Macaca fascicularis: one gene and its partners. The protein of the gene in region 1 interacts with the protein of each later gene in a biochemical or structural test. Links are inferred from orthologs where the notes say so. Each region holds a gene or a part of one and is shown in the gene's direction. Other genes may lie near its edges. The genes, in order: PTEN, RPL22L1, SLC25A3, MEX3C and SSR4.

The links.
Region 2: the proteins of PTEN (region 1) and RPL22L1 form a complex in vitro, tested with the Homo sapiens proteins (2 studies listed by BioGRID). The link is inferred for Macaca fascicularis from reciprocal best matches to the Homo sapiens genes PTEN and RPL22L1.
Region 3: the proteins of PTEN (region 1) and SLC25A3 form a complex in vitro, tested with the Homo sapiens proteins (2 studies listed by BioGRID). The link is inferred for Macaca fascicularis from reciprocal best matches to the Homo sapiens genes PTEN and SLC25A3.
Region 4: of the proteins of PTEN (region 1) and MEX3C, one has a biochemical effect on the other in vitro, tested with the Homo sapiens proteins (2 studies listed by BioGRID). The link is inferred for Macaca fascicularis from reciprocal best matches to the Homo sapiens genes PTEN and MEX3C.
Region 5: the proteins of PTEN (region 1) and SSR4 form a complex in vitro, tested with the Homo sapiens proteins (2 studies listed by BioGRID). The link is inferred for Macaca fascicularis from reciprocal best matches to the Homo sapiens genes PTEN and SSR4.

Annotation. Positions count from the first base shown.
Region 1 is NC_088383.1:96,801,834-96,805,344, forward strand, and holds part of PTEN (phosphatidylinositol 3,4,5-trisphosphate 3-phosphatase and dual-specificity protein phosphatase PTEN), read left to right. Parts: intron 1-543; coding exon 544-587; intron 588-2,494; coding exon 2,495-2,733; intron 2,734-3,511. UniProt on the Homo sapiens protein: Dual-specificity protein phosphatase, dephosphorylating tyrosine-, serine- and threonine-phosphorylated proteins.
Region 2 is NC_088376.1:82,351,043-82,355,023, reverse strand, and holds the start of RPL22L1 (ribosomal protein eL22-like), read left to right. Parts: upstream 1-1,177; 5' UTR 1,178-1,205; coding exon 1,206-1,214; intron 1,215-2,979; coding exon 2,980-3,072; intron 3,073-3,235; coding exon 3,236-3,357; intron 3,358-3,981.
Region 3 is NC_088385.1:105,587,729-105,591,913, forward strand, and holds the start of SLC25A3 (solute carrier family 25 member 3), read left to right. Parts: upstream 1-1,383; 5' UTR 1,384-1,435; exon of another isoform or gene 1,436-1,479; intron 1,480-1,712; exon of another isoform or gene 1,713-1,716; coding exon 1,717-1,873; intron 1,874-3,178; coding exon 3,179-3,303; exon of another isoform or gene 3,304-3,447; coding exon of another isoform or gene 3,448-3,597; intron 3,598-4,185. UniProt on the Homo sapiens protein: Inorganic ion transporter that transports phosphate or copper ions across the mitochondrial inner membrane into the matrix compartment. Mediates proton-coupled symport of phosphate ions necessary for mitochondrial oxidative phosphorylation of ADP to ATP.
Region 4 is NC_088392.1:38,531,610-38,535,850, forward strand, and holds the start of MEX3C (RNA-binding E3 ubiquitin-protein ligase MEX3C), read left to right. Parts: upstream 1-1,441; 5' UTR 1,442-1,810; coding exon 1,811-2,564; intron 2,565-2,711; exon of another isoform or gene 2,712-4,241. UniProt on the Homo sapiens protein: E3 ubiquitin ligase responsible for the post-transcriptional regulation of common HLA-A allotypes. Binds to the 3' UTR of HLA-A2 mRNA, and regulates its levels by promoting mRNA decay.
Region 5 is NC_088395.1:159,854,315-159,858,526, forward strand, and holds the start of SSR4 (translocon-associated protein subunit delta), read left to right. Parts: upstream 1-1,401; 5' UTR 1,402-1,432; coding exon 1,433-1,499; exon of another isoform or gene 1,500-2,491; intron 2,492-2,617; exon of another isoform or gene 2,618-3,115; coding exon 3,116-3,234; intron 3,235-4,198; coding exon 4,199-4,212. Other genes in the region: IDH3G (isocitrate dehydrogenase [NAD] subunit gamma, mitochondrial), read right to left, coding at 990-1,070. UniProt on the Homo sapiens protein: TRAP proteins are part of a complex whose function is to bind calcium to the ER membrane and thereby regulate the retention of ER resident proteins.

The DNA of each region.
Region 1 (3,511 bases):
AAGAAAAAGAAAAAAAAAAATTGGTAAGCATTGTGTCCAAGTAGATTAACATCATTCAGTTTTTCTTTACTGTCCTTATGCTTTTATTATTTTTAACATATATCTTTTTGAAGAATAGTTTGAGAATTATGTATGCTTAAATATGAGATACAAATACTATTGAAACTAGCCAGTTGTTTATAGGTACTTGTAAAAAAAAAAAAAAAATTCCAATAGCATGCAAATTTTTCATAGAGGAAATTTGAAAGCATGGAAGCACCTGAATTTGCAGTACTCTATATTAGTGACATCACAAGTTTTGTAAGCAAATTTATTAGCTCTAATTGCATACACTTAATCTTTTAAGCTTTGGTTTTATTATTATAATATGGGGGTGATAATAGTATCTACGTAATAGAATTCTTATTACATGAAATAATTAATGTTAAACAGCATAATATGTGTCACATTATAAAGATTCAGGCAATGTTTGTTAATATTAGTACTTTTTTTCTTCCTAAATGCAAAAGATAACTATATATCACTTTTAAACTTTTCTTTTAGTTGTGCTGAAAGACATTATGACACCGCCAAATTTAATTGCAGAGGTAGGTATGAATGTACTGTACTATGCTGTATAACTTAAACCCGATAGACTATATCTTAACTGTCATAATAATGAGTCATCTAGATTATTGAGTGAGATACATATTTATCTTAAGAAGTATCTTAAAAATTTTCAAAAAATTTAATTTTGCTGTTTTTTAGGAAAAAAGTATTGCATAAAGCTATTAATATTGTCAGGAAGACTAAAGTGCAGAGTAGACTAAGAATTAGGAAAATTCCTAGACTAAAAATAGTATAAGGAGAGGGTTTACCTACTGTTTAAGGCAGTAGGTCTGATAGTAAGCAACTATAGGGAGAAAGCAGAACTACTTAACTCTTCTGTGTTGAGGAATGACATAAAAGGTAGGAAAGGATATAACAAATGTTGATAAGAGAAACCTGATGGATGAGAGGAGGGAATTGCTTTAAATGAGTTCTACTTCAGACATAAGTTAATTCTCAGAGCCCACAAAAACTTTCACTTTTATTTGTGAAATACAGCTCAGTTCTATGACCTAACACTTTAAACCATGAGAGAACTGAAGAGTTGAGAAGCTAGGCAGATGCCGCTGTGATAGTCAAAAAGAGAAAGTGGGTGCCATGAGCTACTATTGATGTATTTGCCATTGATCCCTCCTGAAAATCTAGAATGGACTTTCAGACAGATGGTTTGAAAATTCTAAATCACTCATGATTGAGATTTGGTATAGATTCACTAAGAACGTTTTGTTTTTGTTTTTGGTGGATTTAGGTTGTTGCTTACTAGGCAAAGCAGGCTTTAGTTGAGGTTTATGTTGCTTTAAATAGACATTTAACAGGTTTTCCTGGAGGTTTTTGTGTACCACTGAGAAAATGGAGTTAGGCAGATGACTAAGTGAAAGCTGTCCTTCTGGACTCCCTATAATGATAGTCATTGTCTACCAGAAGAGCTGTCCTGTCACACCAAAGGATAATTGATTGTATCCTGTATCATATTATGAGTGACTTGATTGGAGATATAAGACATACTTCTCACATATTTAGGTAACACAGGATAGTACGTTGAGTATCAGAGTTTTTAAGGATCTTAATAGAGTGGAATTAAGGTAGAAACTATTAAGAACAATTAATAGTGATATATCTATAGTCCTGTTTCTAAACAAGGTTTTTTAAAAACCTCAACTCTGACTATAGTGAACAGAGAAGTCTTGGACTCTTATAATTCATGTGAGAAGACCTGAAACTTTGATAACAATTATATACATTTTGTAAGTAATTTCTTTGGTGTATGCCTTCACATATCTCTGTATGTGACCTATGCTACCAGTCCATTGAGCGTAAATTCCCAGAATGTATTCTCCTGCAGAAAATGGAGGTAAATAGTACTTGGCTTCCCTAATGATTTACATGTGTATACAACACTAATATTTGCAAGACCACCTTTAAATAACACACTTAGCATTTTTATTTTATGAAATGTAATATGCAATTCTTTCTATAGTTTATTAGTAATCTATTCTGTCTTTGGAATATGTTTTGTGATGATGAAATAAATACTATAAATAGTATTCCTTTTGCATTGAGAGTCCTGATGAAATGTCCATGTGACATTTCATTTTGGGTTTAGCTGTACCTCTAATATGTGACCTATGCTGTCAGTCCATATAGTGTAAATTCCTAGAATATATCCTTCTGAATAAAATGGGGGAAAATAATACTTGCCTTCCTTAATGATTATATTTGAGACTTATCAAGAGACTATTTTCTATTTAAAAATTAGAAAGTTAAGCAATACATTATTTTTCTCTGGAATCTAGTGTTTCTTTTAAATACCTGTTAAGTTTGTATGCAACATTTCTAAAGTTAACCTACTTGTAATTAAAAATTCAGAAGTTTTTTTTCTTATTCTGAGGTTGTCTTTTTACCACAGTTGCACAATATCCTTTTGAAGACCATAACCCACCACAGCTAGAACTGATCAAACCCTTTTGTGAAGATCTTGACCAATGGCTAAGTGAAGATGACAATCATGTTGCAGCAATTCACTGTAAAGCTGGAAAGGGACGAACTGGTGTAATGATTTGTGCATATTTATTACATCGGGGCAAATTTTTAAAGGCACAAGAGGCCCTAGATTTCTATGGGGAAGTAAGGACCAGAGACAAAAAGGTAAGTTATTTTTTGATGTTTTTCCTTTCCTCTTCCTAGATCTGAGAATTTATTGGAAAACAGATACTGGGTGTTTTTTTTTTTTTTCCTTCAGTTTTATTGAGGTGTAATTGACAAGTAAAAATTATATATAAATACAATGTATAATATGATCTTTTGATGTATGTATATATACATTGTGTAATGATCACTACAGTCAAGCTACTTAACGTATTCATCACCTCACATAATTATTCTTCTCCCTTCAAGGTGAAAGCATTTAACATCTACAAGCTTCAATTTTCAGTTATACAATGTTATTATTAACTATAGTCACTGTGCTGTCCAGTAGATCTTCAGATCTTGTTCATCTTGTGTCCCTCCCCGCCCCACCATCAGTCCCTGGAAAACAGGTTTTAAAAATAGTTGCTAATCCTTATTTCTTCTAAATTTTTAAATCAGTTGCTGCCTCAATTTCTATATGAGAAATGACTGATTTCATTTTTCTGTTCATGCTACCATTTTCATATCATACTAGCACATGTTACCCATTAACTGTATTGCAGATTTGGTCTCATAAAATTCTTTTAAAATAACATTTTTAAAAAGCTATCAAAAATAAGCTTATATTTCTGAAGCTTATTTGAGCATAGAATGGCTTTGGATAAAATACCATTACCTAGTAAAGGGTGAACTTTTATAATACATAAAAATTATTCTTTTATAAGAATATTCATAAATGTAGTTAGATTAATAGAAGATTCTTGATTCTTTGATCGGAAAACTAAGGACTATATTG
Region 2 (3,981 bases), on another chromosome or scaffold:
ATGAACAGTTCTTACTTTCTGGGGGTCATTCTTCAAATTAACAACAAAGTCCACCCCATCCCATACCCCTACCCCTAGGTATGATAATTTCATCTCCACGAAAACGTATTACTGCTAAACTCAAGGGGTTTAGCATGCCACCCTTCTAATCTGATGTCAATTTACAATCCTTCAAAGCTCAAAAGCTACTTTTTCCTTTTGTCAGCAAGACACTTCCACCTTCGTATGTCTTGTACATACTGATAGGTCACAGCAAACATTCATTGAATTTTAACTGGGGAGCATTTTGGATGGAAATCAAGAGACCTGGGATTAACTCTAAAACCCATGATAAATTATACCAAACGAATGAACAGGAAGCAAGCACTACGTGTTTTTCTCTTTAAGACAGAGTCACGCAGGCTGGAGTGCAGTGGCAGATCTCGACTCATTGCAACTTCCTCCCCCCAAGTTTAGCAATGTTCCTGCCTCAGGCTCCCGAGTGGCTGGGAATACAGAAGCGCACCACCACCCGGGCTAATTTTTTTTAAATTGTTTGTAGAGACGGATTCTCCCTATGCCTATGCTGCCAAGGGTGGTCAGGAACTCCTGGGCTCAAGAGATCCTCCGGTCTCGGCCTCCCAAAGTGCTGGGATTACCGGTGTGGGCCACCACGCCCATATATATATATAAATGCTTTTTTTTCCGAGGACCTGGTCCCCGAAGAACCGATTTCCCTCAACAGTCATTTAGAAAACGAGGACCACAGACAAAACACAAATAGAAATAACTTTTTGGCTGGAGGAGTATAACTGCAATAAAAGAGGAGATCCCAAAGCAACCTGAGACACTGTCTTGCCCTGATTGGAAAGGGGATTCCGGTGATTAGTGAAAGATGACCCCTGCATCCCTCGCGTGCGTCCGTATCCGGGAGCAGCCACTTGGTAACTGTAGGGACCACTGCGATCAATCAGCTTGTACAGCCAGGAGCAGAAACCCGGGAGTCAGTTCAACCACCGCCACCCGCGTGCGCCCGCGGAAAGCCGATTCCGTACTGGCGTCCGGCCGCGCACTGGTTTCCTAGGTTACCGGCCTCCGCGCTCCTCCTGCTTTCTTTTCCTGGAGGCGACAATCTGACGTTCTCAGCGCGTGACGCAGCACGCTTTGGTATAAATACAGACCGCTCGGTCGTAGGTTTCTCTCTGCTCGCGCGGCCGATTCGCAAAATGGCGCCTGTGAGTGAGCGATGTCTTGGTGGGAGTGTTGTGCGGCAATTTAATGATTTTTGCTGTAACGAATTTTGCATCTGTCGAGTGGGGACGTCTCAGTCGAGATAAAGGGAGGGGAGTAGTGGAGGCTGGGTCAGAAACACAACCAAAACGCGAGGATCCTGAATTGTTTTTCGAGACTCCTGGCATCTGCCATGCGGTCTAGTGGAGTTGGAGCTGGGCTCGGAAATGGTTTAGAATGGGTGGTTTTGGACACGTGGGAAAGAGGGAGGCACAGCTGTAAATTGGCCGGTGGTACTGCAATCTGAGCCATTTATTTACTGCCTTGCGCCTGATAATGCTTTTGCCACTCTGGACTGGGTAGGAGAAAGGTGAGTAATCCGGCCGGTCTGACGACCTGTGCCCCAGGCCAGAGGGAACTCCGAGGCGCTCAGCTCCCGCGATGGCCGACATCACGGAAGTTTCTGAGAACTTTCAGTTGGGGAAGAAGCTCCTCTGTGAAGTAATTTTTAGAAAAGTAAAAGCCTAGATTCCGGCAATGTGAAATGAACATGCTTCAGATATTGTACTTAAGTCATTAGTAAGGGAACCAGTAAGATGTTAAAATGTTCCTAAGAATATCTGAAAAGCTAGGTATATATGCGTAATTTACAGAAAAAATTAGGATAAAATTGCTGGGCTAGCTACAAAACTGCGTAATGCCCAGCATGGCCATAAACCCTACAGGGTTATCTGTTCCATTAGACAGAAATTGTTTGTGTCTCCCAAATTAACTTCTGCGCCAACTGAGTGATTTTCTTTTGGTACATGTTACCGTGCTACCTGAGAAAGCAAACTAAGGTGTAATACTTGGTAGCCATTTGGGTGGATCTAAATTGGAGGTTATCATCTGATAAATACTGATTTGTTTATATTCCAGTGAATGTACATGGTTACTGGCTACCGCAACATTTTGCTTATGTAGCCATATAATATGGTCTTGGTATAAAAGGTTTGGATATGGAAAATTTAAGTTCCACGGTGTTGGCTTTTCTTTTTTTTGAGACAGAGTCTGTCCCCCAGTTCGGAGTACAGTGGCATGATCAGGCTCACTGCAACCTCCGCTTCCTGGGTTCAAGCAATCCTCCCGACTTAGCCTTCTGAATAGCTAGGATTACAAGCATGCATCACCACACCTGGCAAATTTTTGTATTTTTACTAGAGATGGGGTTTCACCATGTTGGCCAGGCTGGTCTCAAACTCCTGACCTCAAGTGATCCTCCTGCCTCAGCCTCCCAAAGTACTGGGGCCGCGCCTGGCCTTTATTTGGTTGTTTTTAAAAATTTTTTTTCTTTCTTTTTTTTTTTTTTTTTTTTTTTTTACCGAAGTCCTCTTCCCTTGCCTATAACAACGTAAGAATTGAATTTCCTAGACATAGATGGATGGAATCCTAGCTCTGGCACTTAACTGTGCTTGGGCTAGGAGGTTTACTAATCTATTTCCATCTGCAGTGGGGTGGCAGTAAAGCACGATAGTTTAAAATTGAACATCGGTGGTATGGAAAACAATGAAAGTCCATAACCTTTTGACAACTTGAACATATTAGGACTTGGTTAGAGGTTCACATCAATCCCGGGTCGGTGGGGTTTTTTAATTTTTATTTTTGTTACATTTCTGTATATGTAACCTCACAGTACATTGTACGGATTGCATTGGTACAAACTTTAAAATTGTTTATACCAATTGAATAAATTGTTTTATATAGCTACATAATTATTTCACATTTATGTAGCAGAAAGACAAGAAGCCCAAAAGGTCAACCTGGAAGTTTAATTTGGACCTCACTCATCCAGTAGAAGATGGAATTTTTGATTCTGGAAATTTTGTAAGTATCATTCTACTTGGCTCATTTTTATAATCCGAGTTATTTATAGTGGTTTAAATATGTAATATTTGATAATAACCTAAGCTCTATTCCTAGGGTACCTTCCCTAGTGAATATCTAGGGTTCTCTTCCCTAGTTGTGCATTTTTTCTGTTTTAAAATAGGAGCAATTTCTACGGGAGAAGGTTAAAGTCAATGGCAAAACTGGAAATCTCGGGAATGTTGTTCACATTGAACGCTTCAAGAATAAAATCACAGTTGTTTCTGAGAAACAGTTCTCTAAAAGGTTGGTACCTTTGCAAATTTTAATAAAATTATAGTAGTTTTTGGAATATTTCATAGAATATGTAATTATTACGCGTATTCTGTTTATATGCAAGAATAAATAAGAGCTTACTAAAGGCCTACATAAATGGGAAATTCAGTAAATGAGTGCCAGTTGCTGATTCTAGTTGTAAGTGTAATTTATTGCTAGAATATAGGGCAGTTGTGTCCATGGTCCCGATCCCGTAAATTACAGGCCCTGTAAATCCAAGTTGTATATAACCTTTAATGCTGAGTACTTTAGTATTTGAGTGTGTTAAAAGAAACATGTCTAATGTGTACATACGAGGATTGTCTCAATGATACAAACCTTTTCTTACAATTTTTTAAGGTTTTAGTTATTTATTCAGGAGAGGTAGCTGATCAGAGGCAAAGTCTTAACATCTTGCTGCCAGTTTTTATTTGTTCAATTTATTCACCATATATTAAATACTTCATGGGCAGCATAGGACTGGGTAACTGAACAGCGAACCAAGCAGGCGGTTTAACCACCACCAAGAAACTTCTAGTGGAGAAGGGAGAGAGTGAAATGGAATTAATCAAGCAGTGATAAGTGCTGTAAGGGCATAAAGCTAGTTGCAAAGTT
Region 3 (4,185 bases), on another chromosome or scaffold:
CTTTTTTTAGGGAACATCTTCTGTAGACTTTTAGACATTATCTCATTGAGTTCTCATAGACTTTGCAAGGTAAGTATTACTCCAGTCCAGAACCAGCCACCTAATTTTCAGGGTCCGGTGCAAACTAAAAAATGTGTGGCCCCTTGTTCATACATATATTAAGAATTTCAAGCCAGGCATGGTGGCTCAGGCCTGTAATCCCAGCACATTGGGAGGCCGAGGTGGGTGGATCACCTGAGGTCAGGAGTTCGAGACCAGACTAGCCAACATGATGAAATCCCGTCTCTGCAAAAAATACAAAAATTAGCCAAGCGTGGTCGTGCACGCCTGTAGTCCCAGCTACTCCAGAGGCCGAGGCAGGAGAATAGGGTGAACCTGGGAGGCAGAGCTTGCAGTGAGCCGAGATCACGTCACTGCACTTCAGCCTGGGTGACAGAGTGAAACTCCGTCTCAAAAAAAAAACAAAAAGAAAAGAAAAATTTCAAAATCAGCAGAGCATTAAACTAAGTGTAAGGCCATGTGTGATTGTACCAGTGTGAACCTGTGAGGCCAGTCCCACCCCAATCTTACATCTAAGGAACAGGTTCACAGAGATGAAGTAAATTCCCAAGGTTACTTTGTCAAGAGCTGGGAAAATATAAGAGCCAGAAGTCTAACAGGTTGAATCCCTATTAAACTCTCCCCAACTAAACTACGCCCCTCCCTGTTGAGCTGAATCTAATGAAAGCTTCCTAAATGTTTTAACCAGACACACGCACAATCTGCTATCAGTCACTTTCACTAGTTCATCGCTGTAACACCTCAGGTGTTCAATGTTTCAACGTGTTCTATAGATTATTGTGATAACGCGGCAAGCTGTCGTAAGACTTCTTGCTGCACATTTCTTTTTTAAAATATTCTCCAGAAGTCTGATGAAAAATGCAGACATACCTATATTTAATGTCAATGGATGGAACTTATTTTAAAAAGTACTGTAATGGCAGAAGTTGTGACACATAATACTGCAGTGATGTTCTCTAACTCCAACACCTAAATATATCATCAAGCATTCATGTTTTGTTTTTTAAGTGACTACTAGATACTGTGATTCACTTAAGTGAAGCGAACTGAAGCCTGTGGTCAAGAAGAGACACCTGAAGGTGAAGGGACAAAGCGAGCAGGTTAATATCCCGAACCCGACCCCTCTCAAAAAATATACAGCCGGAACGCGCGTCTGCGCAGAACGAATCCTCCTGCGCACACGCCGGGCCGGAAGAGCAGGAGTGGGCAGGGGCGGGGATAAGGTTGCTAGGAGAACGCGATGACGCTACGGGCTCGGAGCTCTTCTCCACCAATGGGCGACGCATGCTTGCAGTGACGCGCTGTGTGCGTCACGCCGACGACGCGCGAAGGGCACACATCTTAGGGCTGGGAGGACGTTCGGCCTCTGTGAGCGGTAACCTTTCCAAGGGAGTGGTTGGGTGATCGCCATCTTAGGGAGTGAGTGTGACCGGGCCTTCCCCTGTGGCGGGTGTGGGGAGCGGAGCCCAGAGACCCTGTGGGGCCGCTGCTTTGGCGGTGGGCCCAGCCGGGAGCAGCCTCCTTCGAAGGCCGCCGTGACCTCTTCAAGGGCGCGCAGGCGGGAAGGAAAAGGCCCGGTTGGGGTTCCAGGGCGCCGGTAACATTAACCGGCGCCTTGCCTGCCATCTCACCGCCGCTCCCTCTTCCCCTAGAAAGATGTTCTCGTCCGTGGCGCACCTGGCGCGGGCGAACCCCTTCAACACGCCACATCTGCAGTTGCTGCACGATGGCCTCGGGGACCTCCGCAGCAACCCACCCGGGCCCACTGGCCAGCCCCGCCGCCCTCGCAACCTGGCAGCCGCCGCCGTGGAAGGTGAGATCAGACCTTGCCTGATACAGTCGTGGTCTATTCGTGGTCTGCCCAGCGTTTGAGGCCTGGACCCGGCTTGGAGGACAGGGAAGGACGAGTCCAGCCCGCTGCACCGTAGGACGGCGCCCAGTTGCTTGCCCTGGGATATCGTCTTTTTCCACCCTAGGCGGGTGTCAGATCCTTGGCCCTCCCTCAAGGGCGTGGAAGGGCTGAGGCCCTGTGTCCCTTCGTGACCTCCATGTCCCCGAGGGAAAAAAGGCCGCGACTAGCTCCTTATCTTCTCTGCCGTGAGCCCGCTTGGTCAGCCAACTAAGTATTGGGTAAAGTCTCTTCCCCAAACTACTGACCACCCACAGTTCTACTAACTGTATCACCTGTCCTTTGATTTGCCCTTAGTTTTCTTGAACAGTCCTTTCCTAAGTTTTATATTCGTCGACGCCAGGTCCGTCATTTTAGCACTTAATTATATATGAGATAACTGGATCTCCTGTTTTCATGCGACTGGAGGAGGCAGCTTGCAGCACTACATAGGCAATAAAAAGGAGATAATTGGTGGGCATCCCTTTGGTGTGATTATCTCTTGCGATTCTTTGTGGTTGGGCCCAGCTTTAACTTGGTTGTGTGTGTTTTAAATCCTAGTGAAGTGTGTACATACAGAGAAACCTGAAAATCGAATTGTAGGAGTCCTGAGAATGTTATCTACCTTATGCCTGTAAAATCGAAAGATTTTTTTCTTTAAATCACTCATGTGCTTCTGTTATGTCTTTAGTATGGATAAAGAATCCTTACTTACACTATCTGTCATTCAGTTTAAAATTAAAGCTAACATTATTTGTGTATTAAATGTATATGACTGCAGGAATTTATGTGTATCTGTTTTTATGTTATAGGAGTTCATAAGTGGGGATAGTATTGGTTAGTGGCTAGGATAAACTTTGAAGTTGTTTGCAAGCCTTTTACACGTCGGGTGATCTTTCTGAGTTTCATTTGTACTCTGAAGTGTGCTCTTACCAGTGGTTAATAATTTGAAGTTTGACTTTAATTGTAAAAGCCGTTAATGTAGAAAACTTTTTAAAAAATGAATATGGCAGAATCCAAGCTGTTAATAGTATCAGATACAGAACCCTCATAATTTTTAAATGATCTGATTTTGGCAGTGAATTTTTTTTTAAGCCACTTAATTGGCCAAAGCTATTCAGCTGTGATAATACTATTTTAACAGGGAAACAGTTTTCTTTCATTCCAGTGGCCTTAGTCATCTCTGAAGAAATACTTACTTCATTTTTTTTTTTTTTTCCAATCAAACAGAGCAGTATAGCTGTGACTATGGATCTGGCAGATTCTTTATCCTTTGTGGACTTGGAGGAATTATTAGCTGTGGCACAACACATACAGCATTGGTTCCTCTAGATCTGGTTAAATGCAGAATGCAGGTTTGTTTTGCATGCTGGACTAGAGCATATTGAAGCATGACTGACTGTTAAGTTATAAGATATAGTCATCTACTAACAAGCTGTGTGGAAACCTAACTGTCCAGGAGGTAAGTTTATGACCAGTAACATGAGTTTTATATTAAAATGCATGGTGTGTCTTCTCTTACTACAGAGTACAGTTGTGAATTTGGCTCCGCGAAGTATTATGCACTGTGTGGCTTTGGTGGGGTCTTAAGTTGTGGTCTGACACACACTGCTGTCGTTCCCCTGGATTTAGTGAAATGCCGTATGCAGGTTTGTATTGAGATGACAACATTGAAAGTATCTTTCATGTGACTTAACTTTAAATAAAATCTTAAAGCGCTTCCCAAATGAGAATTTGAAGACATCACAACTGCTAGAAACTTCAGTAGGAAACCAAACTAAAATTTCTTTAAATCGTGGGCTTTATTTTAACTAGTGTTTTAAATCCAATAAATGCCTCTATTGTTGGAGTAAATTATTCACTCTTAGACTCTGGCTGTAGATGGCTCTTTGCTGCTGCTCTTCACTTTCTGGCCAGAGTTCTTCAAGCTTACTTGTGCCCCAAATAGTCGTTTTATAAGCACCTGTGTGTTGGAGTGGGTAAACAAGTCTGTGTATTATGTGAGGTAACGATGTCCTTTATCTACTAATAAGACCAAGGCAAAGAGCACATGTAGATTTATTTAAAATGCTCTAATGCCTTAGTATGAAAATTTTGTCAGATTAGCCTTTTGTATATTTACATAACATTTTAAAATAATTTCAATATCTTTTAATTAAGATTATTGAAACAAAAACAAGACATCAAAAATTTATTTGTTCCAAACAGGATTAGAAGTCTATTTACCTAAAAGAGAA
Region 4 (4,241 bases), on another chromosome or scaffold:
CACAGAGGGAGATCACCTGAGCAATACTGTGGGAAGAGTGTCTAGGGAGGAGGAAACGGGGATTCATTTCTTTAAAAGCACCAGAGAGCTGGACAAGGTGGTTCACGCCTCTAATGCCAGCACTGTGGGAGGGCGAGGCGGGCGGATCACTTGAAGTCAGAGTTCGAGACCAGCCTGGCCAACATGGTGAAACTCCGTCTCTACTAAAAATACAAAAATTACCTGGGCGTGGTGGCACGTGCCTGTAATCCCAGCTACTGGGGAGGCTGAGACAGGAAAAACTTTTTTTTTGAGACGGAGTCTCGTTCTGTAGCCCAGGCTGGAGTGCAGTGGCGTGATCTTGGCTCACTGCAGCCTCCACCTCCCGGGTTCAAGCGATTCTCCTGCCTCTGCCTCCCGAGTAGTTGGGATTACAGGGGTGCGCCACCACGCCCGGCTAATTTTTGTATTTTTAGAAGAGACGGGGTTTCACCATGTTGATCAGACTGGTCTCGGACTCCTGACCTGACCTCGTGATCCGCCCGCCTCAGCCTCCCAAAGTGCTGGGATTACAGGCGTGAGCCACCGCGCCCTGTAAAGCTCTTGAGCCCGGGAGGCGAGGTTGCGTTGAGCCAAGATCGTGCCACTACACTCCAGCCAGGGCGACGGAGCTAGACTCCGTTTCAAAAAGAAAAAAAAAAAGGCCCCAAAGAGCTAAAGTTCAGCACCTGCAGGCTGCTGATGTAACCACCCTGCCGGCAGAAAAGCCGGGCCAACGGGGCGTTGGGAGCGTCAGGCCACGAGGGAGGAGCATTCCCGGGTCCGAGAGGGAAGGCCCGGGAGCCACGCGGCTCAGGAAACCGCCCCCGCGAGGGGATAGGAGGATATTGCGTGGCCCCTCCTTCCATGACTCTTCTTAAGGCCCTTCCTCTGAAGGGGGCGATCTCATCCTCAACCCGAGGAAACAATGCCCTCGAACCTGCGCCTGCAGCTCTGCTCCAGGCCGCTCACACAGTGCCTTCCCTGAAAGAACTCAGCCAGACCGGCTACAGGGATAAAGGGTTGGGGGGAAACAAATCCAGGTGTGCGCTTCGACCGCAGGCGCCTGCGCCAAAACCCCGCTTGGCCCTTAGTTTCAGCCTCTGCAGCAGCGCCTTCATCCGCCTCCTTTTTCCCGCCCCCGCCGGAGACGTCACAAAGAGTGACGTGTAAAGTGAACAATCACAGTCCCTCTCCGCGCGTGCCGGGAGGAATGGAGAGGGAGGTGGGCGGGGAGAGGACGGAAGGAGTGGGCTTCGGGAGCTGGCTGGTCCCGGTCACCCAATCAGAGAGCTCTGGGGAGGGGAGGGGCGGGGCCCGAAGGAGGGTGGGGGGTGGGGCTGGGGAAAGGAGTTGGAAGGCTGCGGGAGGAGAAGGCGGGCTCCCAGAGATTAAAAACACCCAATCAGAGCGCGCCGGCTTCATTCGGAGAGCGGCGTGGGGCGTCGCCGCCGCCGCCGCGCGCGCCGGGGGCTGGTTAAGGCCATGAAACAAAAGAAACCCTGAGAGGGAGCCGCTGCCACCTCCACCAGCCCGCCCCGCCGCCGTCCCCACCCACCCACCTAGTTACCTACCTTTGCCTCCTTCCCCTGCCCCTCCACCCCGCCCTCTCCGGTCTCCGGGCGGCCCTGGCGCTCCACGGCCCGGGTCCCCAGCCCCACCGCCTCCCCAGAGGAAAGGTGTTTGCGCGCTGAGCAGGGCCCTGGCCCTGTCCGCCATGGGGCTCGCCGCCTGCTGCGCCTGACCCGGCCGCCGCCGCCGCCGCCGCCGCCATTGACAGCGCGCCGCCGCGATGCCGAGCGGCAGCTCCGCGGCCCTGGCCCTGGCGGCGGCCCCGGCGCCCCTGCCGCAGCCGCCCCCGCCGCCGCCGCCGCCGCCGCCGCCTCTGCCGCCGCCCTCGGGCGGCCCGGAGCTCGAGGGGGACGGGCTCCTGCTGAGGGAGCGCCTGGCCGCGCTAGGCCTCGACGACCCCAGCCCGGCGGATCCCGGTGCTCCGGCGCTTCGAGCCGTGGCGGCGGCGGCGCAGGGCCAGGCCCGGCGGGCGGCGGGGCTGTCTCCAGAGGAGCGGGCTCCGCCTGGCCGGCCCGGGGCCCCGGAGGCGGCCGAGCTGGAGCTGGAAGAGGACGAGGAGGAGGGGGAGGAAGCAGAGCTGGACGGAGACCTGCTGGAGGAGGAGGAGCTGGAGGAAGCAGAGGAGGAAGACCGGTCGTCGCTGTTGCTGCTGTCGCCGCCCGCGGCCACCGCCTCTCAGACCCAGCCGATCCCAGGCGGGTCCCTGGGGTCTGTGTTGCTGCCCGCCGCCGGCTTCGATGCCCGGGAGGCGGCGGCCGCGGCGGCGGCGGCGGGGGTGCTGTACGGAGGGGACGATGCCCAGGGCATGATGGCGGCGATGCTGTCCCATGCCTACGGCCCCGGCGGCTGTGGGGCGGCGGCGGCCGCCCTGAACGGGGAGCAGGCGGCCCTGCTCCGGAGAAAGAGCGTCAACACCACCGAGTGCGTCCCGGTGCCCAGCTCCGAGCACGTCGCCGAGATCGTCGGCCGCCAGGGTGAGTGCAGGGGTGGGGAGGTCCAGCTGGGCATGGCCCCGGGCGTGGGTGGGGAGACGAGAGAAATGAGCATGGGACGGAAAGGGCGAACCCGGCGAGGCCCCCAGATCCACCCCGAAGGGGTCTGGGAGGAGCCGAGGGTCGACCAGATGTGAAGATGGGTCACCTTGCGAAAACCCACGCTTTTTCGCTCGTCTCGCCTGGTAAAAAGTGTGAAGTTTTTCGGGCGACCCAGTCCGGTGGTGTTCACGTTACTTGGGCTGTATTCGTGGAACACCAGGCTGGCGTGGCACCAGAAACCTCAGTGAGGTGGTAAAAGGTCGGGCTCGAGGAGTTGTGGGTTCGCTCTTGGGTACGGAAACCTTCGAGATTGCAAGTTTGCGCCGCCGAGTGTCTTCTTTTTAAAGCGTTCAGCCTCCCTTACAAGAACTTGTTCAGATGGAGAAAAGGACAGAAATGGAGGCCTGTAGACAGAGCTCACTGGGGAGGGAAGGGATGTTCAAATGGTCGGTATCACCGCCATCCCCTGCCTCTCCGCTGTTCAGAAACAGCTTTGGAAAAGCAGCCCAACTCACTGCCGCCGATCTTACTGTATTCCTCTCGATACGTTTCAAGTCTTGGAAAGACACACTGACACACTGGCTGTCTTTTGAAACTGTTCGGTGTGCAGGATGAAGAAAAATTGGACACTAAGGTAATTAAGAAACTTCTGTGTTTATACAGTTTTCAGTTAATTCTCCTCTTCACTTGTCAGCACACCAGTACTGCAGACAGACTCCTCCCACATTGTTCAGACAAAGGACCTATGTCTCAGATTCCAGGAGTAGATTTGTGAAGGTGGGGGAAGGAGATGCTTGGGGTACCTCTGTATCCGACATTTTTAGGGAAGGTCCTAAGTTCTTTATGGGAGCTTTTTCCCTTTATGAAAGGGGCAGATGTTACCTGCTGCCACCGCATGACAATATGGTTTAGCCTGGTTGATGCATGCCTCTTTACTGTTAGGTTGAGAGCATTGTTGGGGTCAAATAAAGCGAGATGATGGCGCTGCTGCTTAAATGATCTCATCTTTCCCAAGTGGTCTAAAGTACACATAAATAAGAGGTCTGTCGAAATGGTGGTTTCACATATCAGAGTTGGCTCATTTCTTTCCTATCTGTAGGATTTTAATAAAAACTCATATGAAATCTGGATAAAGGAGATAGCTTATTTCAGACTGCCTGATGATTGGCACTTACCAACACTGTTCAAAGCTGGACCTTTCAATTGAGAGGTAGCTTATGTGTGTTGTTCTTCTGGTTAATGAGTTTCAAATACCTGGTTTGTTTGGTTTTGACGATACTTAGAGTACTAATCCAGGATAAAACTTTTATTTACATGGGATAAAATTACAACATCTCAATTTGCATCAGAATGAGTTGACCATTCATGTGAGAACACTGAGGAATCGCCATGTACCAAGCATGTATTTTGCCAGGTGTTGAGTTTGTGGTATTGAGTTGAGAGTGTGAAGTTAATTCAGACTTTCTGCCCTTAAGAAGATAACAGTCTAATAAACAGTAGAATGGCACTAACTATATTATATTTAGTGTGACAGAGTATCAGATAGGAGAACATCTACCGTGGAGGGCCTTGGAAAATGGGTAGGAAGGAGTTTAACAAATGGAGATTGAAAAACTG
Region 5 (4,212 bases), on another chromosome or scaffold:
GAGCCCAGTTGCTAGAGCCATCAGAGCCTCTGGAAAGCCACTATATGCTGCCGTCCTTTCAGCAGCAAGGTAGGAGAAGTCGGCATTGTCAAGAGAATTTCATTAGGCACAAGCATCTCCCCCAGAGGCCAGAAAGAGAAAACAGCAAGTAGAGGTGTCCCTGGTGAGTGGCAACAAAATCACGGAGTTCTGGAAGGTCAGAGTTGACAGGATCCTTTGAAAACATGAAGTCTCCCCTCTGGGTTCCAAAGGGGAAACTGTAACCCAGAGAGAGGAGAAACTGGCCTAAGGCCACGCACTGGGTCAGTGGGGGAGCATGGCCTAGAGGCCAAACCTCTTACCCATCAGGGCCAGCTGCTTCAGATGGTTTCCAGCCCACCTAGGACCTAAATTAACCTCTTCTTAAATAAGCGTAAGGAAAAAGGACTCAGACCTGAATACGCAAGACCGCAGACCAAGAAGAGCAGAAGCAAAACCCCCGCAGCCTGAGAAACCCTAGCTCCTTCCCATTCCAGGCGCCTCGGGGGGAAGGCATCTGGGGCTCTAAGACTGTGGGAGGATGGGGTATGACTGGCAAAGTCCGGTTCTTTGCCACCGGGACAAGTGGCAAAGCGGTCAACGAGACGGGAACCCATGGAGAAATTTGAGTCCCGGAACCGGATTCCCGAAGCGGTTTGAGAAAGGCGGGCCGGGATACGTGAGTGACTGCGTCAAAGGGCTCTTTCAAGGACAGTAAGGAGGTGACAGCCGCCGTGGCCCACTCTCCCGGCCCGTCCGGAACCCCCCCCCCCGCCACCCGATGCAGACGCCCTGGGGGAGCCGGCCCAGGGCCAACTTCGGCCAATCCCCTCAGTGACAGCGGAGGCGGCCAATCAACCCCGGCGCGCAGCCCTCTCCTAGCCAATCGGACTCCAGACTGCTTCGGGAGCGGCTACCCCACCGCTCCCCTGCGAGCGCTGCCGCGGCCCCGTGGCCCTTTCCCTGCTCACCTCCCAGGGACGGCAGAGAAGGGCTGGCCTGAGCACTGCCTTCGCAGCGCCGCCGGCGACCGTCGCTACCTTCAGCGCCATGACGGAAAGTGAGAGCCTCCGCACGTCCCGTCACGCAGACACCGCTCTCGCGAGAGTTCCACGGGGTGCGAAGTTTCGGGGACCGGCGCGGGCCCGGTACTGCGCACGCGCGCGGTCTCACCGATTCCCACGCCCCCTTCCGGCGCCTAGAGCGCCGCTGCCGCCATGTTGATGGGGGATCGCGACCAGCTGGGCCCCTGTCTCGGGGAGGGGCCACGTCAGTGCTGCCAGAGACGTCACAATGCCGGCCCGGCCCTTCGGTGCACGATTGGCTGCCGCTGTCACTTACGCGTCGCTCTTCCTCGTTTGCCCCTCGTGTTCATGGGAGCTCGTTTTCTTTTCCTCTAGGCAGAGAAGAGGCGATGGCGGCGATGGCATATCTCGGCGCCCTGGCGCTGCTCCTGCTGTCCAGCCTCTCCCGCTGCTCAGGTAGCGGCCCAGTCGGGGCTTCTTTCTGGCGAGCCTCTGACCCACCCCACGTGGTGTTGAGGGGAGGAGGGATGCGGGGGTCTGGCTTTTCGGGGTCCGTCGCTGAGAGCCGGGCCTTCCTCCGAGAGGCAGGCGGCCTTGGGACGCGGGGACCAAAGCACCTCGGGCACGTTTACCGGCAGCCAGGCTTTTCCTTGTCTGCCCATACGAAGAGGAGTCCCGGAGCCTCCACCGTGCGCCCGGCCCCCAGCTCCAGCACGGAACGTGACACATGTCCCCGCTCCCGCTCCCCGCGGGGTCGGACCAGAACGAAGCTCTGTAGTGCTGAGCGATCGCGGTCAAAAACGGGGCTGGAGGAACCACATAAGCTAGGAAGGGACCTCAGTGAGGAGAGGGAGCAAGAACGGGGCGAGTTAGATGGGGAGCCAGAGGTGCGCAGGACCTTGAGTGCCAGGCCGAAGACTGGCCTTTCCGGAGGGCCCTGCCTTACCCTTACCAGAGTTTTCGGCAGAGCCTACCAGGGGTCCCGTCGATTTGCGTTCATGAGGGTCTGAGGCTCCAGAGTGTGTTTAGGAGGTGGCTGCAGCAGCCAGTCCCGGGCCCGGGGGCCAGGACTGGACAGGGGTGGCTTTCTGCACATTCCCTTTTCTGCCGTCCTTCAGGCCAGTAGCCTTGCTGCCTGCAACGTTTTGCCAGCTTAACTGGCCTCCCTGCCCGCACCCTCTTGTCTGCCCCTCAGGAATTCCCTGAGTTATAGCCAGGGACTTATCCAGAGGACAAGCCTGGCCATAAAACCCTTTCGGGGGCTCCCCTGCGCCACAGGAAGCAGGCCCAACTTAGGCAGGACACAGAAAGGCTGGTAGGATCTGGCCCCTGAGAGCGGCCTCCATGCTGTTCCTACGGATCTGCCTCCTCTGGTCCGGACCCAGAGCCTTCTCTGACGTCCTCTGCTGAAGCCGTCATTCTGCCGGAGCATCACATTTGGACAGCTGGTGACTGAGAACGTTCCCATTTTGGGGAGCCTTTGTTTCACACCCTCTGATGTAGGCGGCAGCCTGTCTTTCCTGTGGGCCTCTGTGGTTATGGAGAAGGCTAAGGCAGAGTCCTTTCTCTCACAGCTGACAAGTTGTGCTTCTGGAAGCAGAGCCTCTCCTGATGACTTCCTCAGGAAACGCTGGGGCAGTGCATTGCCTGCCTGCAGCCCTACCCCTGATGTCTCTGCTGAGGATGCCTTCAGTAACCCGTCCAGGCCGTTTGTGGTTCTGAATGGAGGCTGGCCTGGCCCCCTGGCCTCCGTGTCATAGGTCCAAGCGTTGGCATGTATTGTCCAGTGAATCCAGCGCCCACCTGTCCCCAGCACACGCGTTCGCTCTTCCTGCACACCTCCAGAAAGCCGGCCTTGCCCCTCTCCAGTCTGCTTTCACAGCCATCCCACCTACCTTGCCACTGCATTTGTGACCGAGCACTTGGATCTGTCTGGATCCCACCTGGAAGGGACAGGAGGATCCCGTGCGTCCTCAGCTGATCCGTGCTGTGAGGCAGGGCCCGGCCATCCTGCCCTCAGACTGGGATACTCGAGCTGGCCTTACCCAAGCATCTCTCCCTCTTCCCTGCAGCTGAGGCCTGCCTGGAGCCCCAGATCACCCCTTCCTACTACACCACTTCTGACGCTGTCATTTCCACCGAGACTGTCTTTATTGTGGAGATCTCCCTGACATGCAAGAACAGGGTCCAGGTGAGACAGTGGGGTTTCAGACAGGAGGGCGGGTGGGGGTGCTCCTCACTGCCAGTTGATGGGGGACCCGTGTCAACAGAGATTCCAACTCTTGGGGTGCTGGAGAGATCAGGGCACGGCGATGCCAGATCCTAGCCAGTGTTGACAGGTCACCTTCCTCACCTGCTTTGTGTGCTGTGCCTACACGAGGTAACACTGGGCTCACAACCTGTGTCCCGAATGAGTATCTGAACCGGGAGAAAGGGCAGCCCACCCTCGTTGCCATTGGCCAGTTTGTCTGTGTGGGTGTTTTGTCTTTGTTTTTGTTTTTTGTTTGTTTTGAGACAGGGTCTCACTCTGTTGCCCCGGCTGGAGTGCATTGGCACGATCTTGGCTCATTGCAGCCTCCGCCTCCCGGGTTCAAGAGATTCTCCCCTCAGTCTCCCGAGTAGCTGGGATGACAGGCGCTTACCACCATGCCCAGCTAAGTTTTGTATTTTTTGGTAGAGACAGGATTTCGGGTGTTTTAACTTCAAGATTGAGGAGCCTTGGCCTTGGCCCCTGACCTACGTTCCCAAAAGTCCAAAGAAGGAAATGGGGCCTTTTTTTTGGGTATGGCTCTCTTAGGGTAAAGCACCCCTTGGGCAGCCCACTGGGCATCCCGGACCCCAGCACCTCCCTTGTAGACTCAGGAAAATCACTCGGCCCTTTTGATCATCCCGCCCCTGCTCACAGTCAACAAGGTTCCTATGCGTCCAGTTAGGTCCGACCATGGGGATCTAGCCCTGTGCCTCCGTAGGGAAGACCGATGCAGAGGGCCAGTCACAGGATTGGTGAGTGTTACCTGGAACCTCCTGCCAGGGACACTGCAGCCCCCAACTGGGCCTAGCCTACCCATCTGCAGGCCGTGTGAGCAGCACACAGGGTTCCTCTGCCCACACCCAGAGAAGGCAGAAGGTGACCCTGCCTTTGTCTCCTCACCCAGAACATGGCTCTCTA